Linked DNA regions of Caenorhabditis elegans. The protein of the gene in region 1 interacts with the protein of each later gene in a pairwise test. Each region holds a gene or a part of one and is shown in the gene's direction. Other genes may lie near its edges.

Region 1 (9,530 bases):
ACTTCAAAATCTAGTTTATAAATTTACAGAAATGGCATGCAAACGTCATTCAGTGTCCGATCCCATTTCGAAGGATCTCGTCGAGTGTCTTCGTGAATCAATGCAAAGAGATCTCAAATTTGAGACTCCGTACGTTTTCGTGATATTTGGAGCATCGGTATGACATCTATTCCATATATATCGATTATTAATTATTTAACATTTTTTCAGGGAGATCTCGCAAAAAAGAAAATATACCCAACACTGTGGTGGTTGTTCCGTGACAACCTTTTGCCAGTCAACATCAAATTTATTGGATATGCCCGTTCCGATCTGACAGTTTTCAAGCTTCGTGAATCTTTTGAGAAAAACTGTAAAGTTCGAGAAAATGAGAAATGTGCTTTTGATGACTTCATCAAGAAGTGCTCATACGTTCAGGTAAATCTACATCTGCTAATAAATAGGCGTGAAACTTTGTTCCAAAAATACAGTGCTCGGTCTCGACACCACAAATTTGTGTTAAATGCGAAAACGTATCACCTTTAAACAGTACTGTAGCTTCAAGCTTTTGTCGATTTCAGATTTTAAAAAAATTGTTTTAAAACTGAAAAAAAATAATTGCAACACATACATTTTTTTTACAAATCAGGTAGGAAAACTACGAAAACCAACAAAAACTTGAAACTACAGTACTCTTTAAAGGCGCGCACTTTTTTGCATTCAACAAAAATTGTGGGGTCGAGACCGGTTACCGTATTTTTCGCACAAAATCTTGTTACTGGGTAATAAAAATTTGAATCGAAGCTTTTTTCTAGAAACTTTGAACATAAAAAGCACCATTGACATTTTTTCAGGGCCAATACGACACTTCTGAAGGATTCCAACGCCTTCAATCTTCAATTGATGATTTCCAAAAAGAAAGCAATAATCGTAGGTTTAGAATTAAATTTCACTCAATCTAAGCAAATTTATAGAAGCCGTCAATCGTCTCTACTACCTCGCTCTTCCTCCATCAGTTTTCAACGTGGTTTCTACGGAATTAAAGAAGAATTGTATGGATCATGGTGATTCATGGACACGTGTTATCATAGAAAAACCATTTGGACATGATTTGAAATCATCTTGTGAACTTTCAACTCATTTGGCGAAACTTTTTAAAGAAGATCAAATCTACCGTATTGATCATTATCTCGGAAAAGAAATGGTTCAGAATTTGATGGTTATGCGGTAAGAATGTTTTTTCAAAGTATTTGAAGAGATTTATAATTTTATTTTGAACTTTCAGATTTGGAAACCGAATTCTCGCTCCATCTTGGAACCGCGATCACATTGCATCAGTTATGATCTCATTTAAAGAAGATTTTGGAACTGGTGGCCGTGCTGGATATTTTGATACAGCTGGAATTATCCGTGATGTTATGCAGAATCATTTGATGCAAATTCTAACTTTAGTCGCCATGGAGAAACCAGCAAGTTTGAATGCTGAAGATATTCGTGATGAAAAGGTCAAAGTGTTGAAAGCTGCTAAAGTTGTAGAATTAAAGGATGTAGTAGTTGGACAATACATTGCCAGTCCTGAATTTGATCGTGAGTTTTTCAAAAATTACAATTTTATAAAAGTTTTGATTTTTAAATACATTAATTTTAGACCCAGAAGCATCACAAGGATACAAAGATGACAAATCAGTTCCAGCCGATTCGACTACTCCAACGTATGCTCTTGCTGTTGTTCACATCAATAATGAACGTTGGGAGGGTGTTCCATTCTTCTTGCGTTGTGGAAAAGGTAGGGAATATACAAAAAAAAACCGAATTTTTAAATTTCAATATTATTGCAGCTCTCAACGAGAAGAAAGCAGAAGTTCGTATACAATTCAAAGAAGTCAGTGGAGATATCTATCCGTCTGGTGAATTAAAGCGATCCGAATTAGTGATGAGAGTGCAACCAAATGAGGCAGTTTACATGAAACTGATGACCAAGAAACCTGGAATGGGATTCGGTGTTGAAGAAACTGAACTTGATTTGACTTATAATAATAGGTTAGTTTTTGAAATTTCTCTTCAAAAAAAATTTCATTGTGATAATTTCAGATTCAAAGAAGTCCGTCTTCCTGATGCTTATGAACGCCTATTTCTCGAAGTATTCATGGGATCTCAAATTAATTTCGTTCGAACTGATGAGCTTGAATACGCTTGGCGTATTTTGACGCCAGTTCTCGAAGAGCTTAAAAAGAAGAAAGTTCAACCGGTTCAATATAAATTTGGAAGGTTGGTTGTGTTTCTTTTTTTTTAAAATTAAATACAGTAATCCAATTTTTCAGTCGTGGTCCAACTGAAGGTGACGAATTGATGAAAAAGTACGGTTTCATCTTCACTGGAACATACAAATGGGTTGCTCCAAAGCTATAAATGATACCAGATCTTCCTCTATTCATTCTCTTTCAAATGTTTGTAGAAATAACTTCAAAAATTCAGCAGCTACTAGTTCATATGTTTTCCTGTGTTCCACATCAATATTATTCCTGCTCTTTTTTCATTTGTTAATGTTCTATTGAATGAATGAAAATAAATACGTTTTCAGTTAAAAGAAGTGTAGAACGATAAGATAAGCCAGTAAAAAGGCTTATTTTAAATAATCTGTATTCAAAAAATAATCATTTTTTCGACAAGCCGGTTACGGTGCGCCAGTCCGCAAACACTCTGCATACACTCTACTTCTACAGTAGTGGACGTGCGACGCGTGTTGCGTCGCGCATCATCATATTGTTCAATTCTTGTTCAAGTTCAATCATATTTTCTTCGGATTTCTATCATTTTCCATCGGATTTCCCATCATTTTTGCACAAATGTTTTAAAGTATCAATATCTTTGATTTAAAAAAAAACGTCTTTCTTGTTTTACGTCTTTTTCTTGCTAGCTGCACATCGTATTACTCATTCTTTTTTTCAGCCATGGTTGCTGCTTCCGCTACCCGGAACATGCTCCAATCATATGGAAAACGTGGAATTTACGTTTCACTTGCTGTCGCTGTCGTCTCGACTGCCGCATTCAACGCATTTTACGTTTGGCCACGTCACAACAAATATGAAGAGTTTTTCGCGTCAGTGTGATCCTCGCACAAGTGTCTCCCGGGCAACGAGCAAACTTGCAGAAACTACGATTCGTACACTCGAATGAAAGAGATTTGTTCTGCTAACAAGGGGTACATGCATACTTGTCCAAAGGAATTGGCGAAATTGTACGAAGAGAAAGGGAAAGTTGTTGCCGAGCACTAAATGTTTGATAAATTATTCATAATAATACAAGTCAATAAAGTCTATCATTTCTTTATTCAGTTATTTGTTTTATTCTTGATCAGTACTTTGTGGTTTGTACCACATTCATATATTTTTATCTAAAATTTTCTATCCACGAAAAACCTCCCTTTATAGATAAAAATGGTCGAGAATAAGAGTTCGTACGAACTGCCTGATCAAAAAACTCTTGATATGAACAAAGAATGGGTGCAGGAGCTGGAGGATGTGAGTTTCCAATTGTTTAGCTTATAAATATATTTTATTTTTTATTTCAGATTTTCTACAGCTACAAGAAGTACGATGTGAACAAGGTCAGAGTTCAGCAGTTTTTGGACAGAAGATCCGATTTCCTCGTCTATGACTTTTACACCTCTAACCTGTCAATGGAGTATGTGAACAATGTCACCTTTAATAACCTCATTTATACAAATTTTCAGTGCGATGCAGTATTTCCAAGCAGGTGTAACTCAAAAGGACGTCGGACTGAGCAAAGACTACATCCTGCTCATGCGTAAACTGTACAGTATGCTCACGGAGCCGAGCAAGCAGTTTTTCCAGGAGCAATTCGTTAAGGAATGGCAATATCACGAAATTGATTATACGCCATATTTCGAAACACTCGTTCCCCGATTCAGGGAGAAAATTGCGAGATTATTGGATGAAATTGTCAAAAATCCTGAAGAGGTCGACGACGATGTTCAGGAAGAGGTTGGATTTATAATTTTGAAACAAAGTTCATATTGATATTTCAGTTGCGCTGGCACCTGCTCTTCTCACCAGTCACCACTCTTCTGGACATTTTCACTCGATGCCTCAAGAACTTCGAAATCACTGGATTTTGTTTAAATGTGTGCCTAAAAGTGCCACAATTGTTCTTCGATCGTCCGCTGAAAATATATCACACTGAATACGAAACCGATCGCGTTGAATCACTCATGGCTCTGGTTTTCCGCAGATTGATTTTCAATAAGCGCTGGGTGGATACAAGTGACGAAGAGTGGAGCAATTTGGAACAACTCGCAAGGGTGATATGCTCAGGACAGGAACCCTCGTTGATGTCTGCATGGCCACTTCTGGAAGTGGTGCTTTGCGAACTCTACACTCAGAACAGAACTCCCATGATATCAGTGGAAGTTTTGAGCGAAATTGCTGTGAAAATTGTTGAAAACTTCGATAATTTGAAGTATGCCACGTCGGCGAGAACTAAACCAGCTGAGAATGTTCTTTTGACTCCTTCGATTATTTGTTTCTTGCTCAACATTATTGTTGACGAGAACGTATCGAATACAGTCATTGAAAACTGTAAAATGATTCTCAAGGCGATTGGTCAAAACATGGAGCAACCGTTCGATGCTGAAGCGAAGAGCTACTTAACTTCTAAGGTTTTGAAAGAATTTCCGTGGACCTTAGAATTCGCAATCTCAACGTGGTTCAAGGCTCTGGAAGTTGAGAAGCGACGCATTCCATCAGCAGTCTACAAAGCAATCAATGCAGAAATGAAGGAGACATTCGACGAAAGAACTTTCGATATCGAGGAAAGCGAAACTGTTGATCAATCGATCAATGAAGAAGACGAAGAACGTTGTTCGACTCTATCATCTGAATCTTCAGTGAAAACTGCGATATCTATTGACCATAAATCGGACACCGCTGTTGATAATCTGGAGATGAATCAACTGCATCTGAGCCCAAAGCCCAAGGCTTCTGTAGAGGCAGTGAAAAGCTGTAAGCCCGCTTTTGTCGCAGTGATATTCGAGGAAATTCCACCCGAAACTGATCAAAACATCTCAGTTTTTGAAGATCCAACAATTGAAGTTCTCACGGAATACCTCGATTGTATCATCACAATGGGAGTGTTCGACATCTCGTGCGCCGACGAACTCATGCGTCACAGTTCAGTCACGTTCGAATCCTCAGAACAACTGGAAAAAGTAATGAAGACGGCGTTTGAGGAGAATTTCGAGATCGCAAACGCTGGTCCACAGCGTATCAAAGAGATCTCTGGGAAGATTTTGGAGGTAATGTTTTGTCATTGTCACTAGGAAAGATTTTAATTTGAAAAATACACTGAAAATGAATGGAATGCTTTTTCGTCGTGTCTTTTCTGATTTTCTAACTTTACAGGTTTTCGGCTCAACCTCGTCGGAATCGGACCACGACCGTATCGCTTCATCGATCATAGAGCTCATTCCAACAGAAGAATATGAAAAGACTGGGCCAAGATGGAGTCATGATATAAAGAAATCGGAAATCATTCAGCCTCTGGTTATCCCAGTCGAAGCAACGTTGGAAAGCTGGCCACCAGCTGGTAAGAAAATATAATTCAAAAGTAATTATTATTTCATTAATAATTCTGATTTCTTGCAGAGTACCGTTACGTTGCTCCTGGTATCAAGGAATCTCGTGACTCTGCACGACATGAACGCCTACTACGCCAGCAACTTGCAACAACCAAATCTTTGGAAATGGCTCAACTTCATCGCGATTTGTGGGCGGAAAACGAGAAAAATATGGAGCATTGGACACGCCCAGCGTCCCCTTGCAATAGTTCATTTTTCGCTGAATCTAGCGTGAAGCCAACAACATCAAGTATGGATTTTAATGCTGATTTTTTCAATTATAATTATTGCAGGCGCATATGGCAACTCTTCGAATTTCTCTCGTTATGCAGACTGATCGTCTCTGAAACTTTCTTATAATGTTCCTTGTGTTCCTTTTGTTACTTTGTTGTTAATTTTTCGTTCTTGTTTTTTGTTGTAAAATGCTTTATGCAGGTTTTTACCTGACACTGATTTTGAGCCCACCAAGTCTTCGTGATGGAACTTCTACCCATTTCAAAGACTTCGGGATTAATTGTTTTCCCTCTGAATTTTTTATAATTTTTCCCGATTTATTCTACCTCACCGTGAACATTTTAACCCCTTAATTATCCCATGAGACCGCTCATTTTTATAAAATCGGTAGGACGCGAATTTCTTTGTTTATTATGGCATTGTGATATAGTGGGGGATGGGGTGGTATGCAGGGCTTAGCTCATGGTTTTCCTTAGTTTTCTGACCGATCGTCAAATATAGGTGAAAACTTAATAACAATATTGCATTCAGGGCTCGAATTTCAAGCAGACCGCTTATAAATGCAATACAAAATTTATTAAAATGGGATTGAAAAATTGTAATTATCGTAATTCTAGAATTTCCTCATACGTTTTCTGACAGAACATGGAAGGTAGAAAACTTTATAACAATATTGCATTCAAGCAAACAACTTATTAAAAATAAATGTAATATGAACTTTATTAAAAAATTTATTAATGGGAAAAAGTAGGATTTTGTATATTTGTGGCCCTAAAGAGGCCGTTGGGTTCGGTGGGTTTGTTTAAAGAAGAAAGTTCTTACTCCTTATCTCCTCCAGTCTTCTTTGGGAGAAGAACGGCTTGGATGTTTGGAAGAACTCCTCCTTGGGCGATGGTCACTCCGGCCAAAAGCTTGTTGAGCTCCTCGTCGTTGCGGACAGCGAGTTGAAGATGTCTTGGGGCGATACGGGTCTTCTTGTTGTCACGGGCAGCGTTACCGGCCAACTCGAGAACCTCAGCAGCGAGATATTCAAGAACAGCGGCCAAGTAGACTGGGGCTCCGGCTCCAACACGTTGAGCATAGTTTCCTTTGCGAAGAATACGGTGAAGACGACCGACTGGGAATTGAAGTCCAGCTCTTGATGAGCGTGACTTGGCCTTTCCTCCGGTCTTGGCTTTGCCTCCCTTTCCACGTCCAGACATGATGAGCGATTGGTGTTCGTAAGACGAATCTGAAGAATGAATCGAAACTGTCTGTTTATATTCATTTCTACGGTGGAGGGGCGGAGTTTCATGCGGGGACACCTCTATTTGAACATTCCGCACTCTCTGGTAGGACACATTTCTCTCACTTCTCTTTGTCCCCCTATTAACCTCGGTACATTCGGAATTTTGTGTGCACTCAGTAATGTGTCCCCGCGGGAAGCTCCGCCCCTCCACCGCAGTTTTTACATAAATAGGTGTCTCTCCAACCATTTCCTCATACTTGATTCAAGTTCATTCTCATCATGCCACCAAAGCCATCTGCCAAGGGAGCCAAGAAGGCCGCCAAGACCGTCGTTGCCAAGCCAAAGGACGGAAAGAAGAGACGTCATGCCCGCAAGGAATCGTACTCCGTCTACATCTACCGTGTTCTCAAGCAAGTTCACCCAGACACCGGAGTCTCCTCCAAGGCCATGTCTATCATGAACTCCTTCGTCAATGATGTATTCGAACGCATCGCTTCGGAAGCTTCCCGTCTTGCTCATTACAACAAACGCTCAACGATCTCATCCCGCGAAATTCAAACCGCTGTCCGTTTGATTCTCCCAGGAGAACTTGCCAAGCACGCCGTGTCTGAGGGAACCAAGGCCGTCACCAAGTACACTTCCAGCAAGTAAGCCATTAGGCTGAAAACTACCCCACCGAACCCAACGGCCCTCTTTAGGGCCACAAATCTTATAATCCTATGTTATTAACCAAGTGAATAAATAATTTTCAATTATACTCTTTCATAATTTTCAGGTTTTGCATTTTCCAAGTTCAGTTAATTTGAGATTAACCCAGTATTCATTTTCTAAAAGTCATTCTTTCAGAGAGAGAAATTCAAAGCATCTTCGGAATTCTATCTTTCAAATTGTAGATGGGATTCTTCGAATATTTCCAAAAACTTGTATTTCCGTAGTTTATGAAGTTGCACAGAGAAAGGGAAGCTAATGGCCGAGGCTTATAAAAACTTTCGGTTTTCAATCTTGTTGGAAAAATCTCGGGTCATCTCACAAAATTGGTTGAAAAATGTTATGAAAAACTATTACTACATCAAATTACAAGAAGTTTGAAAAAACGCTATGAAATAATTACTTGATTTCCGATATCAGGCGAGATATATGATTCAGGCACTGGTTTTCAGGCTTCAAGCTTTCTTCCGCTTCATGTTCTTGGATATCTAAATCATTTCGATCACCAACTTGAATTATAAAGTGAATTCATATGGTTCGGGAAACAAAACTGTGCAGACTTTCATATACCCTTTTGTAAATAAAATTGAGAACGAACGAAGAAAATCGAATACCGAATGTCTACTTGCATGCAATTCTAATTTTAAATTTAAAAAAAGTATGTAGTTGTGCAAAGCAATAAAGAAAATATCATGTCAACTTGTATTTGAAAATGCTAAAATAGAAAAATCAAAATTATTTAAGATTTATTTAACGAGATCAATTAGGATTTTGGATATTTGTGGCCCTAAAGAGGGCCGTTGGGTTCGGTATTTGGTTTGTATGAAAACAGAAAAGATAATAATTATCCTCCGAATCCGTACAGAGTTCTTCCTTGGCGCTTCAGAGCGTAGACGACGTCCATGGCGGTGACGGTCTTTCTCTTGGCGTGCTCGCAGTAGGTGACAGCATCACGGATGACGTTCTCAAGGAACACCTTCAAGACTCCACGGGTTTCCTCGTAGATCAATCCGGAGATTCTCTTGACTCCTCCTCTTCTGGCGAGACGGCGAATGGCTGGCTTGGTGATACCTTGGATGTTATCACGGAGAACTTTGCGATGGCGCTTGGCACCACCTTTTCCAAGGCCTTTTCCTCCCTTTCCACGTCCGGACATTGTTGAATTCGTTGAAGACTCACAAGTGAGATGAAGAAATGACATCACAGTATTCCTTTTGTACACAGCTGTGGTGGCTAGGCGGAGTCACATTGCACCACTCTGCGAGGACACCTTTCCTTTGTCTGTAACACACCGAATGTTCTAATTGCCACAAGGACAGAAGTGCGCCCGCCCGCCCTCCCACCGCAGCTGCGTACAAAGGCAGTCGTTGGTTTCTCTTTTTTACAGTCCCCACGGATTATCAACCTAAACGCAATGGCTCGTACCAAGCAAACCGCCCGTAAATCGACCGGAGGAAAGGCTCCAAGAAAGCAATTGGCCACCAAAGCTGCCCGCAAATCGGCTCCAGCTTCCGGAGGAGTCAAGAAACCACATCGTTATCGCCCAGGAACCGTCGCTCTTCGTGAGATCAGACGTTACCAGAAATCAACCGAACTTCTAATCCGCAGAGCACCATTCCAGCGCCTTGTTCGTGAGATTGCTCAGGATTTCAAGACCGATCTTCGATTCCAATCTTCCGCTGTCATGGCTCTTCAGGAGGCTGCCGAGGCTTACCTTGTCGGACTCTTCGAGGACACCAACTTGTG
Region 2 (8,909 bases), on another chromosome or scaffold:
CCATAATAGGACAGCCTGGCACCACGTGCGGGGATTAAAACCCGCGCCGCACAGAAAAAAGGCGGAGTGTTATTTCGCAACACCGCGGCACGGTTTTTTGTTGATCTTTTTCAATAGTCTTGATATTACTTGCGATTTTTGCAAATTCAAAAAATCAACAATAAACCGACCGTGCCGCAGGGTTGCAAACTCCGCCTCTTTTTCTGTGCGATGCTGATTTTTTGCGAAATTCACGAATCAAAAAGCACACGTGGTGTCAGTGTCTCTCATTTCGGCTTGATCTACGTAGATCTACAAAAAATGCGGGAGAAGAGACGCAGAGGTCTCAACTGATTTCGCATGGCGCCACACATTTTTGGACAAAAAATTCCCGCATTTTTTGTAGATCAAACCATAATGGGACAGCCTGGCGGGGATTAGAAACCGCGCCGCACAGAAAAAAGGCGGACCGTAGTTTCGCAACACCGCGGAACGGTTTTTGATATTACTTGCGATTTTTGCAAATTCAAAAAATCAACAAAAAACCGTGCCGCAGGGTTGCGAATTTACGCTCCGCCTCTTTTTCTGTGCGATGCTGCTTTTTTTGCGAAATTCACGAAAAAAAAAAAGAAAATAAAAGTACATTTACCGATAAAAGTGACGATAGACCGCCGATATACATGGAGAGAATAGAGAGAGAAATGTGAAGTTTATTAGAAAACAATTTTGTAAAATTATGATGATGATGAAGATTTGCGGAATCTGGTAATCGGTTTTAATTGCCTTTTCTATTATATTATATTAATCACTTGATGATGTACGGCTTTGCGCTTCCTCGTCCACGGTCTCCAGATGACGGAATCCACGTGGCGATACTGATCGATTGTGTTTTGGAGTGGTGGTGCTGCTGGTGCTGGTGGAGGGAATTGAGGTGGTTGCAGTGGATATTACGCTGAAAAATTGAAAGGATTGGTGGAGGAAATGAGAGAAATTTGAGAGCATAAATTTTTAAAAATCGAAAAAAAATTTTTTTTTGCTATTTTTGGGCAGAAAATGGCGAAAACGGTGTTTTTTTGGGTAAAAAATAATAAAAATTTACAATTTTTTTTGACAGAAAAATGCGGAAAAGCTGTTTTTAGGGTTGAAAAATCAAAAAAAAAATTTTTTTTTGCTATTTTTGGGCAGAAAATGGCGAAAAACGGTTTTTTCAAGTTTAAAACATCAAAACAATTTTTTTGCAATTTTTTTACAGAAAAATGAGGATAAGCGGTTTTAAAGGTTTAAAAAATTTTTTAAAATTTTTTTTGCGAATGGAAATTTTCTGAAAAATCGTGCAAATGCCTAATTTGTGCAAAAATCTTATCTGGTCAATGATTTTTAAGAGAAAACACCGGTTTTAGAAGGGAAAAAGGCAAAAAACTGGATTTCCAGTGAATTTTATACTAAAAATGGAAAAAATTCAGAAATTTTTTAAGGAAAAATCAGAATTTTCGCAATTTCTACACGAAATATATAGAAATTGAGGAGAACCTCGGATTTTTTGCGGAGTTTAAACAATAATTTTTCGGCTAAAATTAACGATTTTCAGAGAAAAAACTTAAAAAAAACAGAATTTCAGTGAATTTTACACGAAAAACGTAGCAAAAAGAGGTTTTTAGGGAATTTCCAAGTCAAATTTCCGAAATTCTTGCGATTTCAACCCTGAAAAATAGCGAAATTGAGGAAAATCTCGGATTTTTGCAGATAAATAATATTTTTTCCAATGATTTCCGTCTCCAAAACACAGAATAATTTACCAATTCGACGATGGTGAGGAGGGAGAGCCCAGCTCGTTGGTGACAGCCGTGAGATCCGAGAACAAATTGACGCTGGCTGAAAAAATGGAATAAACGCTAAATTGATGATTTCCGCTATTAAAGTGCATATAGAAATACGAAAAAGCAAAAAAAAAAATTTTTTTTAACCTTTTCCCTGGAATCGAAGAGCAGTTTGCTTGCGGATTGGACGTCGAAAAGGGCCTAAAATTCTCATTTTTCGGCCTGAAATTCCTCGAAAAACCCACTATTATTGGTAGTCGGAGATGGCTGATCGCCTCGTCGCTGGTAATATAGCACGCCTAGCCAGAATCCGTAGAGAAAATAAATATAGACTGCCCACACTAGGATGATGGGAAGAAACGACAATCGGCAGGCGTCTGGAGTGAAGAAATCAAGATTTTTCAGATTAAAAATTAAAAATCTTTAAAGGTGGACTACACCCTTGTTGGGAAATGGCTTTCAAACATGCCTATGGTACCACAATGACCAAATATCATGATTAAAAAATTCAAAAAATTTTTCTAGATTTTATATGATTTTTTGAAAATCGAAAAAATCTCAGTTTTTGCCTAATTCCTATTTGAATTACCGCCAATTGGATTTGTTCGATGGAGCGCGCTTGCACGTTTTTAAATTTATTTATTTTATTTATTGTTATTTTCCACCGATTTTCAATGTTTTCGGTGTATTTTTGCTTGAATTTTAGAGAAAAAGTTAAAATAAATGCAAATTTCCGATTAAAAAATCACTGAAAATGCGTAAAACTGAAAAATATGCTAGTTTCAGGTTTGTTGTCGTCGGAACTCATTATTTTACAGTTTTACGTATTTTTCACATTTTTAAACACTTTTTAGCAAACATTCTGCATTAATCTTGCTTTTTTACTTCTCTTTCCGATAAAAATACACAACTAATGAAGAAAATCAGTGACATAATAATAATAATAATAATAATAATAATAATAATAATTTATTACGCTCGCTGGGAGACGTGAAGGAATACAGAATACAAAAGTTATCATTGTTCGCTTGAACTAGAATTGGTGCAGTCGGGCAATCGTTTCCATTCCATTAAAATGTTGTCCTTGTCCTTGCGTTGTCCTTGCGTAGACTCCCCCATAGTGGGCGAGCGATTCCCGAGTGAAAATAATCACGGAATGAAAAAATAGAAGAAAAATAGAATAAATTAATAAAAAAAATAATGCAAGCGCGCTCCAACGAACGAGTTCAATTGGCGGTAATTCAAATAGGAATTAGGCAAAAACTTTTTCAGATTTTTTCAATTTTCAAAAAATCATATAAAATTTATAAATTTTTTTTGAAGTTTTTTAACGTGATATTTGGTCATTGTGGTACCATAGGCGTGTTTTAAAGCAATTTCCCCACAGGGTGTAGTCCACATTTAAAAATTAAAAATTAAAAATTCTACCTAACAAAATCGAAAATTTCAGATTCTCCTTGATTAAAAGCTTTATTATTGAGTAAAGAGTCCGCAGCGTCCACACGGAGAGCGGGTACAAGATGGAAATCTGAAAATATTTAGGATTTTCAAGGGAAAATATCGATTTTTTTTAGCAAAATACCACAGAAATTGCGGATGGAATGAGTAGAAGAGCCGGGTTGACTTTCCGGGGAAAGTTTCGACGTGTGATGCTCGTCTCGGAGAGCCTCATTCCCAAGAATCCGGTTGCGATGCTGAAGAAAATCGATGGAAAAAGTCTAAAATATCCCCTGAAACCCTACCTAAAAATCAGAAAATACGAGAAAATATTGATTAAATTCCGAGCCGGCACATAATTCGGGCGGATCAGCACTCCATTGAAGTTTCGAAACGTTTCGCCGTTCCACTGAAGTCCATCGAAGCCGGGAACGGATGGCGGCTCGAAATGCTCGTCGACACTCATTTGACTGGCCCTGTAGAGCCCGATGATGGCAATGGCGAGCATTCCCACTTCCACATGGAATATCAGGCTCTGAAAATTAAAATTTAGCTTTTAGACGGAAAAAATCGATTACTTTGACATGAACTTGATCGAAAAGCCAGCGATACGGGTATTTTCGGTGCAGGCGGCCTGATTCCGGACGTGCTCCTCGAGATATATTGGAATTTGTCGAGCGGATACTAATATCTGCCATTTTTTCGCTGAAAAATCAGAAAAAATAAGTTTTAAAACAGAATTTTAATGGAAAAATAAACGGAAAAATTCGAAACTTTTTTTTCCGCCATTGAACACCAATGTGCCTTTAAGGTACGGTAGCTCTTCGTGGTGAGACCACTGCGCCGCGCATCTGATTTCTCGTGGGAAATTTGTTTCGAATCCTACGTTTTTTACAGATTTTTCTTTTTTTTCGTTTCGCTCATCATTTTTTTGTTGCAAAAAATCCAATTTTCAGACAAAAATGTCAGAACGCCAATCCAAATATTTTGACTATCAAGGTATCGTCATTTCCTCCACTGGACAAGATAACCAAGATTCGGAGACGGACCTCGTTTATCTCATTCAAGCTCATGTACGTGAATTCCCTCCGTTTTCATATTTAAAATAATAAGCTCGTTTTCAGGGAAAAGCGGCCCCGAAGAACATCATGTACGGTGTCTCCAAGTGCGCATTTGTTCCAACAAACTTGGAGAGGAATTTCGATAATATCGAAGAGGCAAAAAATCTTGAGTCAGTATTTATTTGATTTGAGCCCATTTTTAATCTGTTAACACTTGAATTTTTAGACGTCGATCCAAAATCCCGCTAAAGTTCGGTGAAGTCATCCTATGGAACGAATCGGACTGTGATCACGATAAGAGGATAATCCTTCATATCAAACGAGAAAAACCAATTTATGAAGCGTCTTCCAGCAGAAATGGACTTATTTTGAAAGTCGGTGGCGTCATCCAGCCCACCTCAACGACCTCGTTCTGGACGCCATTATGCACCGTCACCATGCGTATGTTTCTTCTTGATTTTCGTCTCTCTAACCATATATTTATTTCAGCAGAGACAGAGGCGACCCGTGCGGAGCCAGACGTTTGGCTATACGCCTGGATTCGATTCGAAACTACCATGAAGAGTGGTCTAGATCCTTTCAATATGACTGCAACATTCGAATCGTTTGACAGTTGCGATCCATCCGACCAAGCACGCGTCTGTGAAGCGGTATTTGCTTTTTAAAAATTTTTTACGGGATTTTGAACAAATAACTTTCAGCCATGGAACGCAGGCTCTCCTGACTCTAAATTCGGTGTTTGGCGCCCGGATCCAAAGCCTGCTGATAGCGACGACGAAATTGATATCGAGCCGAGAGAAGGCTGGCACTTGCCAGAAGACAAATGGGCCGAGGTTAAGGTTGCTTTGTGGATTCTCGTTGACAATTTGATTTTGCAGGTCATCAAGATGCAGCTTGGCCTGTATGTCGGCGAACGCCTACTGATTTGCAAAGAACTCTCGCAGTTCGACTTTATTATCCCACTGCAGAAGCCATTTTCCCGAGGAACGGACAAGACTTTGATCTACCCAGCCGTCGGAGAATACTTTCATTTCAGTGCTATTTGGTCGATGCAGCACAACGGTTTTCTGATCTATGAGCTTCAGCCAGTTCCACTTCTCAGACAGCATGTAACCTCTGTCAACGGAAATGTAAGTTATAATATTGATTTTTTTGTCCAGAACATAATTTTTATTTCAGCTCCTTACCCGCGTCGTTCCTGCCAGTATCAGAGGTCTCTTCGTTGACAAGGAGGGCACTCTTGGATTGATTGATGACCCACACCATCTTCTTTCATTCTTCGAGTTTCATCCAGCTGGTTATGAATTCTTGAAGGCTATGGTAATCATGAGTGGGTCTTATTTTGAAACAAACGCTTTCAATTTTCAGGCCGAAGTTCGTGCTGTTCGAACTTCAGAAAACAAATCTGTCCGTTACCGCATTGTTCGTACATCGGGAATGTCCATTTTTGAAAACTGGCTTCGTGATACTCAGGTCTCTAAAGTTAAATTAAACTCGTCCTTTTCACCCCTGAATTTTTCAGTTCGTTGTTGGTCCAGTCAAAGGAATTCGAATCAATGAAGACACTGTCATTTGTGCCAAACATCCGAATGTCTACTTCAAAATCCCCAATAACTTGAAGGAAGGAATCCCCATTGGCGGAGGAGTTCAATTCGTTGGAAAGCGACAAGCTGGAGTCGACAGTGAAATTATGATCACCGAATGTTCTCCATGTCCAGCGTTCACTTGTAAAAATTACTCGGTCTCTGGTGATACGGTTAGTCTTCAATTATTTAATAGTTTTTATTCTATGAGGAAAATATTCAGCGCTTGTTCCAAGTGTACTTGAAGCCAAATTGCGATCATGAGCAGTTGGCGGAGAGTGATTCGATGGGATTTGTGGATTTCAGAGAGTTGGAGACTCCATGTAGAGGAAAGTGAGTGTGTCAGGATTTGTAAAAATAATTGTAACTGAATTTTAAGGTTCCTGGCATGGGTCCGTGAATCCATTACTGTCAATGATTGTCGCCGTGCTGCTACCATCATGGAAGTATGCTCGACAGCCATCTGTCCTCCGTTGATTGCAATGAGCGCGAATTCGAGCAGAGCAACATCGGCCAGAACTACGCCAGCTGGAAGTTCCATTGGATCCAGATCATCAATTCAATCAAGAGCATCTGCAGCTACTTCAGTGAGCTCAAACGTAAGTTTATTTTTAAGGTTGGAAGATGATAAAAACAAGTTTTTCAGCGATTCGTTGGCCCTTCAAGCCGCAGAACTCCATCTGGTACTCCACAAAGCTCAACATCTTCCAGGGTCTAATTAAATATATACGCATCCCGTTTTCCCCCGTATTTGTGTTTCAAATGTTCTGCTCATTTTTAATCTACCCGTTATCCAACCAAACATTTATTTATTTAAACTTCAAGTTCCACCACCATCCCATTCCGCACAACTTGTCTCTCGTAATTTTCTCGTGCTCTAATGAAGTTGTGGTAGGTTATTCTAGTGAATACACCCATGTTAAGCAGCGAATACATCCAGAAAAGTCCCAACAAGCCGGCAGCGAGATACTCCCCCCAAAATGATGGTTGATCGGTACATCCAAGATAGGGTAGCATCGCGATAGACGTGAGCAAGTTCGTTATGCACTTGAAAAACTGAAATTTCAGAAAAGATTAGGTGTATCAGAAGGTTAAAAACAAACAAATGACATATAGATGAACGAAGCCAGTGATGGAATCGGATTCCGAATACGAGAAGCCATTCCCGGAGATACTGTGATAAGAATCTGTGTGATCGAGAACACAATGAGCACACCCACCGGGAACATGAATTCCATGGAAACACGGAGGCAAAGGTCACAGTACTGCAAAAAATGCGAAATTTTGGCGATTTTTGCTCTAAAAAATGCACTGGCCGGGTCTCACCACGACAAATTTTTGTTGTCAGTTGAATGCCAATAGAGTGTGCGCCTTTAAGGAGTACTGTAGTTTCAAACTTTTGTTGCAATCGATTTTACAGTTTTCCCGAGAAACAAAAGTTTGAAACTACAGTACTCCTTAAAGGCGCACACACTCTTTCCGCATTCAACTTAACAAAAGGTTGTCGTGTCGAGACCCGGCCACTGCATTTTTGTAGCAAAAAAAATTTGAAATTTTCAAGTCTGGATAATAATATATAATATTTTTACCTCAACTATGGGAATTTGCATTTCCAAACTATCCAAACAATCGCTGAACCCGAAAGCATCACAAATAATCGATCGATATTGTCGCGGAATGTCACGTATCGATTGGTAGATCATGAATATGTTGCCAAGTAACGCGAAAATCTTGAAAAATGGAGGATTTTGCTTTTAAAAAATCCAAAAAAAAAAACTTAAATTCGACAATTTCCTGTTTGAATTCCCTCCAAAATGAGAACTGCAGGACCCATCAGCGATTTGAGTGGGCGGAGTCCGAGGGCGCTGATTGGTCGTGCAGTTCTAATTTTGGAGGGAATTCAGCCAAATTTGAAAAATCTCGTTTTTTTTGCAATTCTTTTGTGGTATTTTCGACATGGGGTTCTTTCTGGCTTTCCTCATCAAGGGTGTCAATGTCCCGTAAAAATTTCGAAAACGGGACAACGGGACGTCCCGTTTTTTTGAAAACACTCAAAAAACGGGACAAACTGGGCGGTTAAAAAAAAGAGTGCATAGTTGGCGTAAATTTTAGTGTATTCGAGGCAAATTATAAAAAAAACTGCATGTAAGTCATTAATCTGCATGAATTTAAGTCTTGAAACAAAACTCAAAAACAGAACTTTAAAATGTGCAACAAAATCATGAGAGAAATTGTCCCGTTCCCGTGATAATTTTGAAAACGGGACAGCGGGACGTCCCGTTCCCGTGAAAACACTCAAAAAACGGGACAACGGGACAAACGGGACACGGGACTTGACACCCTTGTTCCTCATTAAAATTTTCGCGCTCCATTGATAATCGCCCTGGGAAAGTCGTGTACTCCACACGGACAAATCACATTTAGTTTTACAACTAAAATCGAGAAAATTGGGAGAGTTTTTGCCGCGAACCTGGCCTAGTTCGCGGCAAAAACTCTTCCATTTCAAAATATGGGCGAAGCCAGAAATCCGTGATATTTTCAGCATATTTTTTTGATTCGAAGCAAATCTCAGTTTCTCACCACAACGAACAACTTCACATTCGGATGCCGCCCGTCTTCGAAACGTGGAATTCCAACTGAATTCACCGATTCGACACTTGAACCGGGTGACATCATCATATTTTCAACCAGCTCATACTCGAACTCCGGAATATCCGGCACCACATCAATCGGTGCTGGTTCTGGCGGTGGCGGCTCAACTGACACTTTTCCTTGATCTAAAATTTGTTTTTTTCTGAAAATTTGTCACTGTACCAAATCAAAAAAAAAACCTTACCAGAACTCATAATTTTTGGATTTTAATTTGTAAATTGCAAAACAGAAAATGAATTGGAATTTTTTCACTTTTTATTTATGGGAGGGGGAAATTCTTTGTTGTTGCAATAAAGTAAAACAATCACAGTAAATGCCAGTACAATAGTTTTTCACGTGTAATATATTAACCAATTACTATATTCAATAACTCTGTCGTC
Region 3 (12,041 bases), on another chromosome or scaffold:
ATCCATTATCTAACAAAGTGTTGTTTTATCCTTGTTTTTTATTCATTAAACCAATATATCAATATGCTCTATTATTTAACAGAATGGCTGCTCGATTTGCCAGAGGGTTTGTGAATCGAAATCCACGGAACAATGAACTTATGGGAAGACAAGCGCCGAACACAGGTTATCAATTTGAAAAGGACCGTGCTGCTCGAAGTTACATTTATAAGTAAGTTTTCTGTTCTAAAATAAAAAATTTTATGTAATTTGTTTGCAGAGTAGAGCTTGTGGAAGGAAAATCCCATCGTGAAGGCCGCCTTGTACATTATCAAGATGGAGTTGTAATCAGTGCTTCAACAAAAGAACCTTCAATTGCCAGTCAGCTATACAGTAAAACTGATACATCTGCTGCATTGAATATTGGACGAGTTTTGGCCCTTCGTTGTCTTCAATCTGGAATTCACTTTGCTATGCCTGGAGCAACTAAAGAAGCTATCGAGAAGAGCCAACATGTTAGTGTTTCAAATAATCAATTTTATAATACGGATACTGAGGTCCTGATAAATTTAAAATTAACTTCTCTATTGGTTTTTGTCGAAAATAACTTTAAAAACTTGAAATGTTTCGAAAAACGAATAGTGACAGATTTTAGGTTGTTATTAAAAGCTAATTTGTCTACCTTATTACTCGAATTAATTTTCAAAAATCCGTAACTTTCTATGAAAAGATGTGTACCAGGAAGCAAAAATTATTTTTTGCTGTTTGCATTCAACAACAATTATTTTTCAGCAAACACACTTCTTCAAAGCTCTGGAAGAGGAAGGTCTCACACTAAAAGAACCGGCCCACGTGGAACATTCCTATGAGACAGACAAAACATTCACATGGAAGAGGTACCCACAGAAGCCAACACGTCAGGATAAACTCGACGAGCTATAATTATCCTGCACTTCTAAAAAACGTTTTTATTGTAGAAATAGTTTATGACCTTCAATTGTTTTGTTCTCTCCCTTGTTCTTGTTTCGTCTCTTTCAACTTTTATTAGAGTGAAAAAAAAAACTTTTCTCTGACTTTGAACAATTTAGAACTCTATTCACAATCACCCCCTTGAGCGTCGTAAGTACTAGAAGTTTTTTGCCTTTTTGTTTTAACTTCGAGATTTTTTAATCCCGCCTTCTCAAGCTTCGGACTGCAAACGGACATACATCAAACATTCTTCGATGCATCGTTTTGGTGAAATGACGAATGATGTGATGAAAGGAGGCCACCACCACCACCACCAATTCCCCGCACCCTCCTTGTAATATTCATGGGTGCTCGGCGAGCAGAGACGAAAATGGATGGACGAGATATCAGGGGATTCGATCTGACAACACCCCCGGTTTTCTCCCATTTGGGTTCTTTTGAGCACCTTTTTTTGAGTTTAGAAAATCTTTATTTTTAGAGTTTTTGAGCGTACTTTTTTAACTCCTTAGAGGCATTGAAACAAATGTAGTTCTGACTATCTGGTGTTGTATGTAGAGCTCCATGTTTTATGCATATGGATTTAAATTTCAGGACTTAAATTTTCGACGTCACCAAAATTGAAGTTGGTGACATTCCTGAAAAGCTCCGCCCATTTTTTCCAACATACTTCGCTTTTTTTTTGAAAATATAGAAGCGTTCAGAATTCGTAGAAAATATTGGAATACAAGGAATAATAAAAGTGAATTTTTTGTTTCGAGAGCAGCGTTCTTTTTTGAACTTTCTCAAATGTCCCGATGATTCATAGATAAATAACGTTTTTTATTTCATCTTTCACTCAAAATAAATGACACTTAAAGTTAAAAAAATTATACTTTTTTTTTTGAATTTTCTTGGTATTTGGATTTTTGCACTTTATATTTCTACTGCTTAAATGTTCCAAAAACGACCAAATATCGTTGTAAAACTCAAACAGATTTTTTATTTACACACAAATTTATTTACATTCAAAAAGTCGAATATCACAAGTTCACAATTTTGGAAGTTGACCAAATATATTTTTACATGAGTTTTCTATTTTAATTATGTTTTAACTGTTTGCATTTAAACATTTTAGGGTTAAAAGTTGCAATGCTTGAAATTTCTCAGAAAGTCTACTTTTTCAAAAAATTTAGTACTTTACCGAAAACTTTGTCTGAGCTTTTTTATCTAAAATTTTTACAATGTTCATTTATTATATTTGTACAACATCCCCTAGGATTAAGCTCCTTCAATTAAAAAAAAACCTATTAAAAATTAATTGAATTAATAAGTGAGCATACTAGCATAGATACCTTTTCAGATTATTCTACGATTTTTCAATTGTGAAGAATTTATTTATAGTTTGCTGTAAAATGTACCAAATAATAAATTAATATTTATATCTTGCGATTTCTCGTAAAAAGTCATAAATTTGCATGATATTGGAAACCTTTACTGACACAATGATTAATGTAAACTCTTTCGTATTTTTCTTTTGCAAACTTTCTTTCTTTCACCAAGTTTCCCAAATGGATAATCCAAAATTGTTTGTCCAAAAGTCAGAAAGCAAAACAAATTTGTTCAGAAATCTCATCCTTTCTCTCTAACTTGATTATTTTATTTCCCACTGACTTCTATACTAGTGTCCCGATTTACGATTTCTAAACTAACAATAGAATCGAGTAATATATAGTTTCCGATAGAGATTGAATTTTTTAATTAGCTTTGCCAATTCTCTATTGATAAAATTAATTTCTCATCAGAAATACCATCCTTTGGTTATATGAACTTTAAGTTGTTTCATTTTCAGCTTTAAAATTGATAAAACAGTCTGAAATTAATTTCAGATTTTGAAATTATCATCTTTCTGAAAAATCATACCAAAACAATTATATAGATTTCTTGCAAGTCAGAAATTTTCGAATATTGCATCTAGAATAAGTGAAAAATGTTTATAAACTAGTAAATTATAAAATTGAAATAAAAACTGTAAATGCCACATCTCAATACTCAAAAGCCTTTCTACTTTCAAATTCTGCTATACTCCATACCTATCTATCCCTTCCTACTCATTCCATTGACCATTTGACCACTACTTCAAGTCTTTCAAAATCTGATATCTCAGCTCGTTCTTCTCCAAATAACGGACTTCTTGACCACTTTGAAAATCTCAAATTCTCGAAATTTGCTCTCTTTCCCTTCACTGAATCTTCACAAAAAGCACGACTTTTCTCTCGTTTATTTCTCTCTTCTTCATTTGTATTTCTTCCTTGAATTCATGAATAATAACTAAACATGATATGAAATTTATTTTTATTCATTATATTCAATCATTCTTTGGACACAGTGTGAATTAACTTCCTTGTTTAATTATTGTTTTTCAATTTTTTCTTTAGTCTTGGAGACCTGAAAAGATTTAAATAAAACCCTTTTTAAATAAACTATAGTTTATTTTATAGGGACACTAGTCGCTCATAGAAAGTTTAATATTTTTGATTTTTTTTCGAAGGTTGTTTGAAACTTTGAATCTCCAAATAATTTCAAACTAAAAATATCGTTCAATAAGTTGCAATCCCTGATGCATGAAGCGTGCAATTATTTTATGAACCACCAAAGTTCGCATATCCGACACGTGTCTACACTTTATAATAATTTTGTTATTTTTCCGGGAATACCTTCAAATGTGTGTTCATGTTCAACTAAAAATATAAGTGAATTCATGTGAAAACTAGTTGACTTCCGCTGTACCAAAATAAATATAACCATAAAACATCACGATTTGTTTTTTAAGAAGGTATTAATGGTGTCTATTATGTATTAGATTCAAACTTTTGACAGTCATGTTCTAGATTGCTTAAAATTATTTTCGGTTTTGGTAGAATTGTTATGTATTTAAAAATTTGATGAAGTTGTTTTTTCAGTACCTTTGATAGTATACATCAGATAGTATACGATATAGTATACATCGATTTGTAGCAACTCTTTCATCTACATACATAATTACAATTGCCTCTTTTCTCTATCGTTGCACTTTGATCCAAAAAATCCCCATAAAAATTAATGTTCAGGATCAATGGCTGAACACGTGGCTCTTGAAGACATAACAAATTGTCCAATTCATAATATTGATGAAGATAATAATGTTTTTTCAACTACTACAACCCGTCCATCTCGTACCGAACATCGACTCAGAATGCTTGCAAAGGTAAGTCTTGGAGGTTGCAAAAATTAACCATTCCTCTACTTTTTATGAGTGGGCCAGGGATAAAATTTGTTTTTTATACAACTTTTCTAAGTTGCACAATAAATCAACCTGTAAGAAACTACTGCTATATCTGTTTTTTTTTCAAATAGTTTTTAAATGTGCCTATATACATACAATCTCCCTAGATTTCTGAATCCTTTTCCTTCACAAAAAAGAGGAAGGAAAAAGAAATGGAGTTGAAGGAACTCAATTCGATTAACAACGCCAATTATACACCAAAACTCTGTCTTTTAATATTTCTTACTGGAAATTGAAGTGGTTTATTAGATTTTTGAAATTCCGAATCCTGATTCTCATACTTAAAACCGTATTTTTCCCAAGTCTTCTACCCCATTGCTGTACTTTGACAGTTCATCCCTTGGTGGATCTTTGATTTGCCAAAAAAAATAAATAAATTGATTATATATAAGAACCGTCATTTGTAGATTTTTTTTATTAATTGACAGTCACTTCCAGCAGAAAGAGCCGACAAGTTCATGGACTTAACGTTAAGTTAACAAATGGCTGTGTTTTCTTTTTTACCGATCTGTAATTAAATAGAAAAAAGACACATTGATGTGATTGGAAAACAAAATCTTTTACTTCCAACTATTTTTTCAATGTTTTCCACCAGATTTCATTTTACATCCAAAATATTTATATCATTTAACTCAAAGCGATTTTGAACTCCTCTGCTCTAGCTTCTTTCATTTTGAAAAAATGTTATATCTATGAGTATCAGTGGTATAAAAATAAGAGAAGAAAGACGAGAAGCTCACTCTTTAGCTCATTGGCTTTCAAGTGATAAAGCTGGCCACAAACGATGTGAACCCTCTTTTTCATTTTTTCTTCCCATGGGAATCCGCCACATTCACGTGACATCAACCATTTCCTCATTTTACTTTAAAACTTTCTGGACTTGAAATTTAAAATTTAAAATTGAATCTAATTTGTTAACTTTTCACCATGTTTCCCCTGTCTGGTAACAGAAAAAGTAGACCTTTCAATGATAATTTGGAGTTTTTATATAATTTACTGAAGTTGTTATAACCAAAATCTAAAATTTTCTGACTCCAAAGTTCTCCAAGTCAAAAGACAGTTAGGACGTCAAAAGACTCCAAGTTTTTGAATTAATCTAATCCAAATCACATATTCTATAGCTGCACTTTATTCAATATATTTCCCGTTTGATAGCTTTAAATAAAATGTGCACTTTTGTAATTAAAATTGAATAAAATGAGTCATAACTTGTCTGATCTTTTCTTCTTCATTTTCTTTTCATTCCTCCTCCCACACTCGCATTTTAAATTCCCTTGTCACTGGGAGCGGGGGGCACCGCGAATTTTCAAAACTTTTTTGAAGGGACACTGGTTTTCATTTTTTGGGTTTCGGTTTTGAAAAAGTTGATCTTTGTTTTTTTTTGTAATTTTTTCCAGTTTGCAATTGTTCTGGTTTTGGAAAATTAGTTTTAGTTGCAAGTTTTGCAAAACTTCCGGATTGCTCCAAAGTTGCAAAAATAAGTTTTTACTGTTTCCATAGTTTCTAGACAGTTGAGAATCTGAAAATCAAGATTTCAAATTATAAACCGTGAATTTTATTCGTGGTACAACTTTTTGACCTTCGTATAGAAACAACTTCACAGCTTCGATCTTCATGAGTATTTCAAAAATGCAATTAAGACAACCTGAATATAATAAAAAGCATGAAAATATCTTCTAAACTTTCTATAAACTTCATGCCACCCCCACATTGGTTGACCCAACAATCCCGTCCACACACATCTACACATACATACACAACAATCTTCTATCCTTTGTGGTCGTGCCCTAGTCACCGCCGTCATTTTTCGAGCCGCTGAGCAATTATATTATGTCTATTATGAATGTACTGCTGCTCTTCTCTCGCTTTTTTCTACTCATTCGGACCTTTCTCTCTCTCTCAACTAGAAATGATGATGATGTTCGATGAGCACAAAACTTTCTTTTTTGGGCTCTTTTTGGAGCACTTTCGGTGACTCTCACAAAGGTGTAAACACTGGAAGACTTGAATTTTTTTAGTTTGAGAAAAAATTTGAAGATATTAAAAATTAAGATAGGTCTAATTAGACAAAATTTTTTGTTTCGGAATTTCTGACCAACTTACTTTTTTTGGCCAATAAAGAGATATATTCCTTATGCAGTTTCAAAAACTGATAACTTTAAAATAAGAACCGAGAAATCTAATACCCTAAATATACCTTTAATGAATTTTTAATTTTTGGAAATCATTTTTATTTTAAAAATAAACTTTAGGTATCAACTGTTAATTTATCAATTTACCGGGTATCTAAATAGTACAAATTCAATTCCTCTTATTGAAGTTTTCCGTTGTTTCAAAACTCATTTTCTGGTTCTTCATTTTTGAGAAATGCCATTATTTTTTTGCAAATGTCAAACATCTATTTTCATAAAGACCAAACCAATTTCATCTTACATTTTCGTACTTTAATTGTACCCTTCACCTCCCTCGCTCATTCTTTTTTCTTTGTTCGTTCCCAAAACGCCTTCATTTTTTTACCGACTGCTGCTGCTCCCAGCAATTTCCGGAGTGAACATTCGGAGCACTTTCTCTCCTTTTTTAATGTGCTGCTCCTTTTTCTTGTATAAGTGAGCTTGAAGTCTTCCGTTGCCATGAAATATTGTTCTAACACACTTTTTTTTTGGTTAAAACATGCTATAGCTTGAGTTTGAACATTGGAACCGAAAAATTTCACATCTTAAAAAAGTTACAGTGTCTCTTTTTCGTTTGAGCTCTATATCTCGGACAGCTTCATTTTTTGGAAGTGACATTGTTCTGTAGTACAAATTCGGATAATCACCGTACCTGATAATCTTGCTCCAGAGGCAAAACCATGGTAGATGGGAAAACTCTTTTGTCTTTAGACATTCCACTCGATTGGGGTTCTACAGGGCGCTTTTAAACTGTATGGAGACTTCACTAACCTTTATCTCTCTAAAATGTTCAGATATTCTTCACAAATTTTATTAAGAAGGGAAAATTAAGGAAATATGACAGGCTTTCTTATAAAAGTTGCATGTTGATTCTTGTAAGAATCGGTCAACGTTTAAAAATAGAGAAGTGTAAAAACTCCATTAAAACGCCATTCAACATATACATCTCCCATGGATACATCATTGACCTCTTCTTTCCGACCTCCCGTTTCAAAATGTGACGTTTCCATAGAAGTGTCATCTGCAGAACAACCCCAACCAACTCCTTTCAATCTTTTTCTTCTTCAATATTTCATTTTATTTCAGAACTTCAAAGACATCCGCTCATCATCAATGGCTTCTTCAAGTTCAGCTGCTCTTCGTCCTTTTGGGACGGCTCGATTGACACCTGGAAGACAAACTGGAAGACAGACACAACAACAGATTAGTGCTCCAGAACCAATGATAGGTAAGCATTTTTCGAGGCTTAATTTGATACAATTCACAAAGTGCCGGGCTCGCCCAGAATATAAAAAGCTGACTCAAATTTTCAACAAGCTTATCTCACCAAAAAGTCACTTTTCGAGGAGAACAACTTCAGAAAGTTTTCGAAAAGAGTTGCCTCGATTATTTCCCCACTGGTTCAACTCTACCTTTTACAATATTATTAATATTGGATTTTCAGCTATTGCTCTCTCGGATATGGAGTACCTAATGCGGTCGGCTAGATCAAGCAGAAGCTCAGGAAGGTAAGATTTCACACTTAATTTTTTTCAAGAGTTACTTCAAATCTTGAAATAAATGAAAAAACAAAACAGATTTTTTAAAGTTCTCACAATTGGATAATCTTCAAAATTTCTTCCTCAACGAATTCAAAAATGTAGACCACAAACATTAAATTCTCATCATAAAAACGTATTTTTTTCTCCAATTATATACTATTATTACCTTAGAATTTTTCAAACATCCAACATTTTCTCCGGAAAAGACCAGAGCTCGGCGAGCAATTTTCATGTTTTAAATTGTCGCTACAAACTGAATTGAGAGACGAGAGGCCTCTTATTCCGTTTTTATACGAAAAAAGGAAACTATTTCTTCTATTTTGTTCCTGAATTCTAAAAACAATTTCTGATGAATATCTATAATGTGAGACCAGCTTGTCGGATTCCAAGTTTTTCAGTTGACAGGCCACGTTCTGTACTTGACAGTTTTAGGTATGATTATCATTGTTTACTAAGAAACATAAGAAAAATACAACATGAAATGGAATAGTAGTTTAGCTTAGTTTTGAAAATAAACTGGAAAATACATGAAAAATAACATACAATACAATATGTAGAAAAACAGCAAAATAAATCTATAACTTTCAGATCAGAACGCCAGCCAGGATGCACATGCTGCTGCCACATTGCTGCTGGGGTTACTGTAATTCCACGTGTCGCCCGTTTTTCAATCGAAGGAGGACTCTCAACACACACCCTTATGAATCATTCTGATAGTGAGTTTTTTTGAGCTATGGTTTTGAGTAACTCGATTTAGGTTGTAATTTCAAATGAGCAAGCAAAAATTGGGAAAAAATGTCAAAAAACTAATACAAATATTTCAGATCGGATAGCAGTAAAAATCACATGCAGTGACAACAATATGTACAGAGTGACACCTGTATATGCAACTGTTGAGCCTGGACAAAGTCTTCCACTTCATGTAAGTTTTAACACAAAATTTCAATTTTTGAACATTTTTATTTCAATCCCGATTGAACTAAGGTTTTAGGTTTTCAGGTTTCAGGTTTTAGATTAAAAATTTCTAAACTTTTGGAAAATTAGAAGCTAGATAAATTAGCTTAAATTTAAAATATGGATATCGGAAATATAAAAGTATTTTCTATTGTTCTCTCTGTTATTGCATTTTTGTAGCTTCCTGAAACGTTTTTTTTTACATTTTTGAAGTCTGCTTCTCTTTTAGTCGCGCATGTCTGAAAAAAAAAACAAAAAATTCCAAAATCAGTGAAAATACCAAAGTACCAAAAGAAAGTCAAATTGCCAAAATATGCCAAAAGACCACCACCAAAAAAGTCCAGGTTGCGTGGAGTTTCTAGTCGAAAGTCATCGTTTCAGAAAATAGCAAAATTGAAATCTTCAAAGCCTGTTAAATACAAAAATAGAACACGTATACCATACCCACCCCACAACCCACTTGAACATTTGATTACAGATCGCCCGAATTACCAGTGACCTAATCAAACGTGATCGTCTCTGTGTCAATATTCTCGAAGCAGATGGCAATAAGGAAGCTCGCGAAATTTTCAAAAAGAACGCGAATACACGTGCACCAGCTTCAATCAATATGGCCCTTGAGGCAACAAATGACAATCAGAATCATCATCATCAGGAGTAAAGAAACACAAATATGTACATGCAGACAAACAAAACTACCAACTTTCATTCTTTTTATGCCTTTTTTCTTATTTTCTTTGATAAAAACATAATAAAACAATATGAAATGACATCACAAAAACTGCAAAATCACAAAAAAAATGTCAGAAAATCGCAATAAAACGAACGTTTTATTTGCTCAAATGATCAAAGATATTTTCTTGTTAAACTGCATCATGAATCACTTGCCATTTGAACAAAGGATTGTCACAAAATTAGTTTCCAAATTTTTTATGTCAATTCGTCATTTTTTGAAAATTGTGTTATCTTCGAAACTAGGCCAGAATACTTGATTATTTGAACATTTGTATTGATAAAAATCGATTAGTAAGTTGAATTTTTCAGTTCTTAACTGATTCTTTCCATGAAATTTCATTTTGTTTGAAAACTCTACAGAAACGGTTTTTTGAAATTACATAATTTAAAAAAAAACTACCAACCCCTGTTTCAAGTTGAAATTTTGCTCATTTTAAAGGTTCCTATCGTCAGGACCTGATCACAGGATCCTGTCACGAGCGAAACATTTCAGCTACAGTACCCTCAAGTATTGTAGCTATTTTCTTACATAGCTTATTTTTTGAGATTTGTATAATAAATACACGAGGGCACGGTAGAGAAAAAATTTCGATCGTGCCAGGACCCAAGGTAGCGATTTGCGGTCAAACAAAAAATTAATTTTAAGAGTAATCCCTACTTATTATAAGTTATATATCTCTCGCTAAGATGATTAATATTGAAACACTGGTCTCAACACGATTTGCCTGCGTTCTAGGGGAGCTTCTAATCCTCTATCACCTGACATTAATCACTTGCTCATTCTTCTCTCGTTCTCTGTTTCTCTTTCTTCTTCGTTGAAGTCTCTGTTGAATAATTGTCAAACCCATAACACATTTTATTTTTATATTCCAAAAAAATATTTTTAGAATGAAGATCTTATCGTTGATTCTTGTAATTTTGGTGCTTGTGGTGTCAACAGAATCCGCCGCTTCCAACAATATTTTCTCATCAATCTTTTCTTTTGGCAAGAAAAAACCAACAAGTACTCCAACACCTAGTTATTCAAAAGGTTTTTTTTTAGTTCTTTGTTCAAATGATCTTTGGATTTACATTCCAGCTTCCGCTTCCACGAGCCGGTGTGGAGTACAAGCATCACAATGTTCTGCTTATGAATGTTGTAACTTTGATCAGACATGTCTTCGAAACCGCTGCTTCCCAAGACTATCGGTAAACAAGTTCAAAGATAATTAAAAACTTATTGTATACGTTTTTCAAACTGCACAGAGAAACCCATAAACTTTCAAAAGTTTCAGAACTGTCCAGTTACTCGGGACCAATGTGGAAATGCATGTTGCAAGACTTCTGAGCAATGTCGCAATGGAAAGTGTTCCCGATAATTTATATAACTATACATTTATGAATATTCAAAAAACAATATGTGCACAAAAAATTGTGAAACGAGTGTAAACGTGTGAAAAGTGTACATGCGATGTATACAATATGGGAGATTGTAAATTTTCAATAAAAAAGTCACTCATCGGAGAACGAATTGACGTGTTTCAGGAAATTGTTGAAGTTGGCAGTTTGAGAACTTATTTTTTCGAGCTGAAATTTGATTGAAATTTGAATTTGTTAATTAGTTATAGTTTTTGGTTTAAATGCCATTAGCTATTTATTTCCAAACTCACCTCTGTTTTCAAGTCCATGTTACAAATATCAATATCACCGGATTCTGTCATATCGGGAGCAGTTTTCAGCTGCTTCAGATAGTCTCCCAGCTCATTACCAAGACTTGGCGCACCACCGAAATCTGATAGCTGATTAAACTGAAATGAAATAATTAACGACTCGTTGATTAACTAAGGCTTACATGAACAAATGAATCTTCACTCAGCTCCATTGAATCAAGTGGCAACTCTTCATCTTCATCTTCTTCAAATACAACTTCGTCGATTTTAGCGGCACGGAAGCTCTCAGCAACCTTTTCTATCGTTGGCTCTTTGTCTTCTGGAGTTGATTTTGGAGAATCTAGATTTAATAATAAATATTTGAATTATTTTTATATTCTTACTGAGACAAGTAGAAGAAGAGTTTTTCTTGGTTCCATTTGCTGGATTGTATGCCGACTGTAGTAGATTCACGAATGGGAATGAATGATTTCGTAGATCTGCTAGAGATGGTTTGTGATCTTCTTCATAAGAATTTTGAACATCTGAATGTCGAGAGTCTTCACTTGATGTTGATTGTCCAAGAATAAATCTAGGAGCAGCTTCTCGGGAGGTCTTAAATTTTTTAATTCGTTTGACTTTGCATAAAATTTTTTTGAAAACTTACAGAACTTCCAGCACTTGTAGCAGATTCAACACTTCCACTTGCTTTTCTTTTTTTAGCATCAGCAATTGGAACACATTCTGAGACAGTTCTTGTTTG

Evidence for each region.
Region 2: the proteins of edg-1 (region 1) and deps-1 interact in a two-hybrid assay, tested with the Caenorhabditis elegans proteins (one large-scale study listed by BioGRID).
Region 3: the proteins of edg-1 (region 1) and D2007.2 interact in a two-hybrid assay, tested with the Caenorhabditis elegans proteins (one large-scale study listed by BioGRID).

The regions. Positions count from the first base shown.
Region 1 is NC_003282.8:11,317,390-11,326,919, forward strand, and holds edg-1 (Protein edg-1), read left to right. Parts: upstream 1-3,410; 5' UTR 3,411-3,416; coding exon 3,417-3,500; intron 3,501-3,550; coding exon 3,551-3,663; intron 3,664-3,712; coding exon 3,713-3,983; intron 3,984-4,027; coding exon 4,028-5,293; intron 5,294-5,399; coding exon 5,400-5,583; intron 5,584-5,642; coding exon 5,643-5,864; intron 5,865-5,907; coding exon 5,908-5,951; 3' UTR 5,952-6,247; downstream 6,248-9,530. Other genes in the region: gspd-1 (Glucose-6-phosphate 1-dehydrogenase), read left to right, coding at 32-157, 211-417, 834-909, 954-1,206, 1,265-1,566, 1,628-1,765, 1,818-2,019, 2,071-2,247 and 1 more; B0035.18 (Mitochondrial cytochrome c oxidase subunit VIc/VIIs domain-containing protein), read left to right, coding at 2,931-3,079, 3,131-3,254; his-47 (Histone H2A), read right to left, coding at 6,667-7,050; his-48 (putative histone H2B 4), read left to right, coding at 7,356-7,727; his-46 (Histone H4), read right to left, coding at 8,629-8,940; his-45 (Histone H3), read left to right, coding at 9,199-9,530. UniProt on the Caenorhabditis elegans protein: Plays a role in regulating deps-1 cluster formation in the germline.
Region 2 is NC_003279.8:502,282-511,190, forward strand, and holds deps-1 (P-granule-associated protein deps-1), read left to right. Parts: upstream 1-4,191; 5' UTR 4,192-4,195; coding exon 4,196-4,306; intron 4,307-4,357; coding exon 4,358-4,464; intron 4,465-4,520; coding exon 4,521-4,735; intron 4,736-4,783; coding exon 4,784-4,944; intron 4,945-4,995; coding exon 4,996-5,127; intron 5,128-5,172; coding exon 5,173-5,424; intron 5,425-5,473; coding exon 5,474-5,614; intron 5,615-5,662; coding exon 5,663-5,767; intron 5,768-5,816; coding exon 5,817-6,050; intron 6,051-6,100; coding exon 6,101-6,210; intron 6,211-6,256; coding exon 6,257-6,476; intron 6,477-6,523; coding exon 6,524-6,595; 3' UTR 6,596-6,690; downstream 6,691-8,909. Other genes in the region: Y65B4BL.4 (Dolichyl-phosphate-mannose--protein mannosyltransferase), read right to left, coding at 781-931, 1,776-1,851, 1,944-1,997, 2,042-2,173, 3,225-3,324, 3,379-3,490, 3,539-3,768, 3,812-3,931; Y65B4BL.7 (uncharacterized protein), read right to left, coding at 6,691-6,933, 6,981-7,142, 7,467-7,607, 8,458-8,654, 8,714-8,723. UniProt on the Caenorhabditis elegans protein: Component of P-granules which is required for P-granule formation and integrity in adult germ cells. Promotes the accumulation of glh-1 mRNA and localization of pgl-1 to P-granules. Involved in RNA-mediated gene silencing (RNAi) in the germline.
Region 3 is NC_003281.10:8,144,935-8,156,975, forward strand, and holds D2007.2 (Major sperm protein), read left to right. Parts: upstream 1-4,039; coding exon 4,040-4,171; intron 4,172-7,506; coding exon 7,507-7,648; intron 7,649-7,864; coding exon 7,865-7,928; intron 7,929-8,549; coding exon 8,550-8,677; intron 8,678-8,785; coding exon 8,786-8,883; intron 8,884-9,393; coding exon 9,394-9,576; downstream 9,577-12,041. Other genes in the region: mrpl-18 (Large ribosomal subunit protein uL18m), read left to right, coding at 84-211, 260-494, 772-921; D2007.1 (uncharacterized protein), read left to right, coding at 10,539-10,680, 10,729-10,838, 10,925-11,008; atg-13 (Autophagy-related protein 13 homolog), read right to left, coding at 11,142-11,216, 11,300-11,437, 11,482-11,639, 11,683-11,893, 11,946-12,041.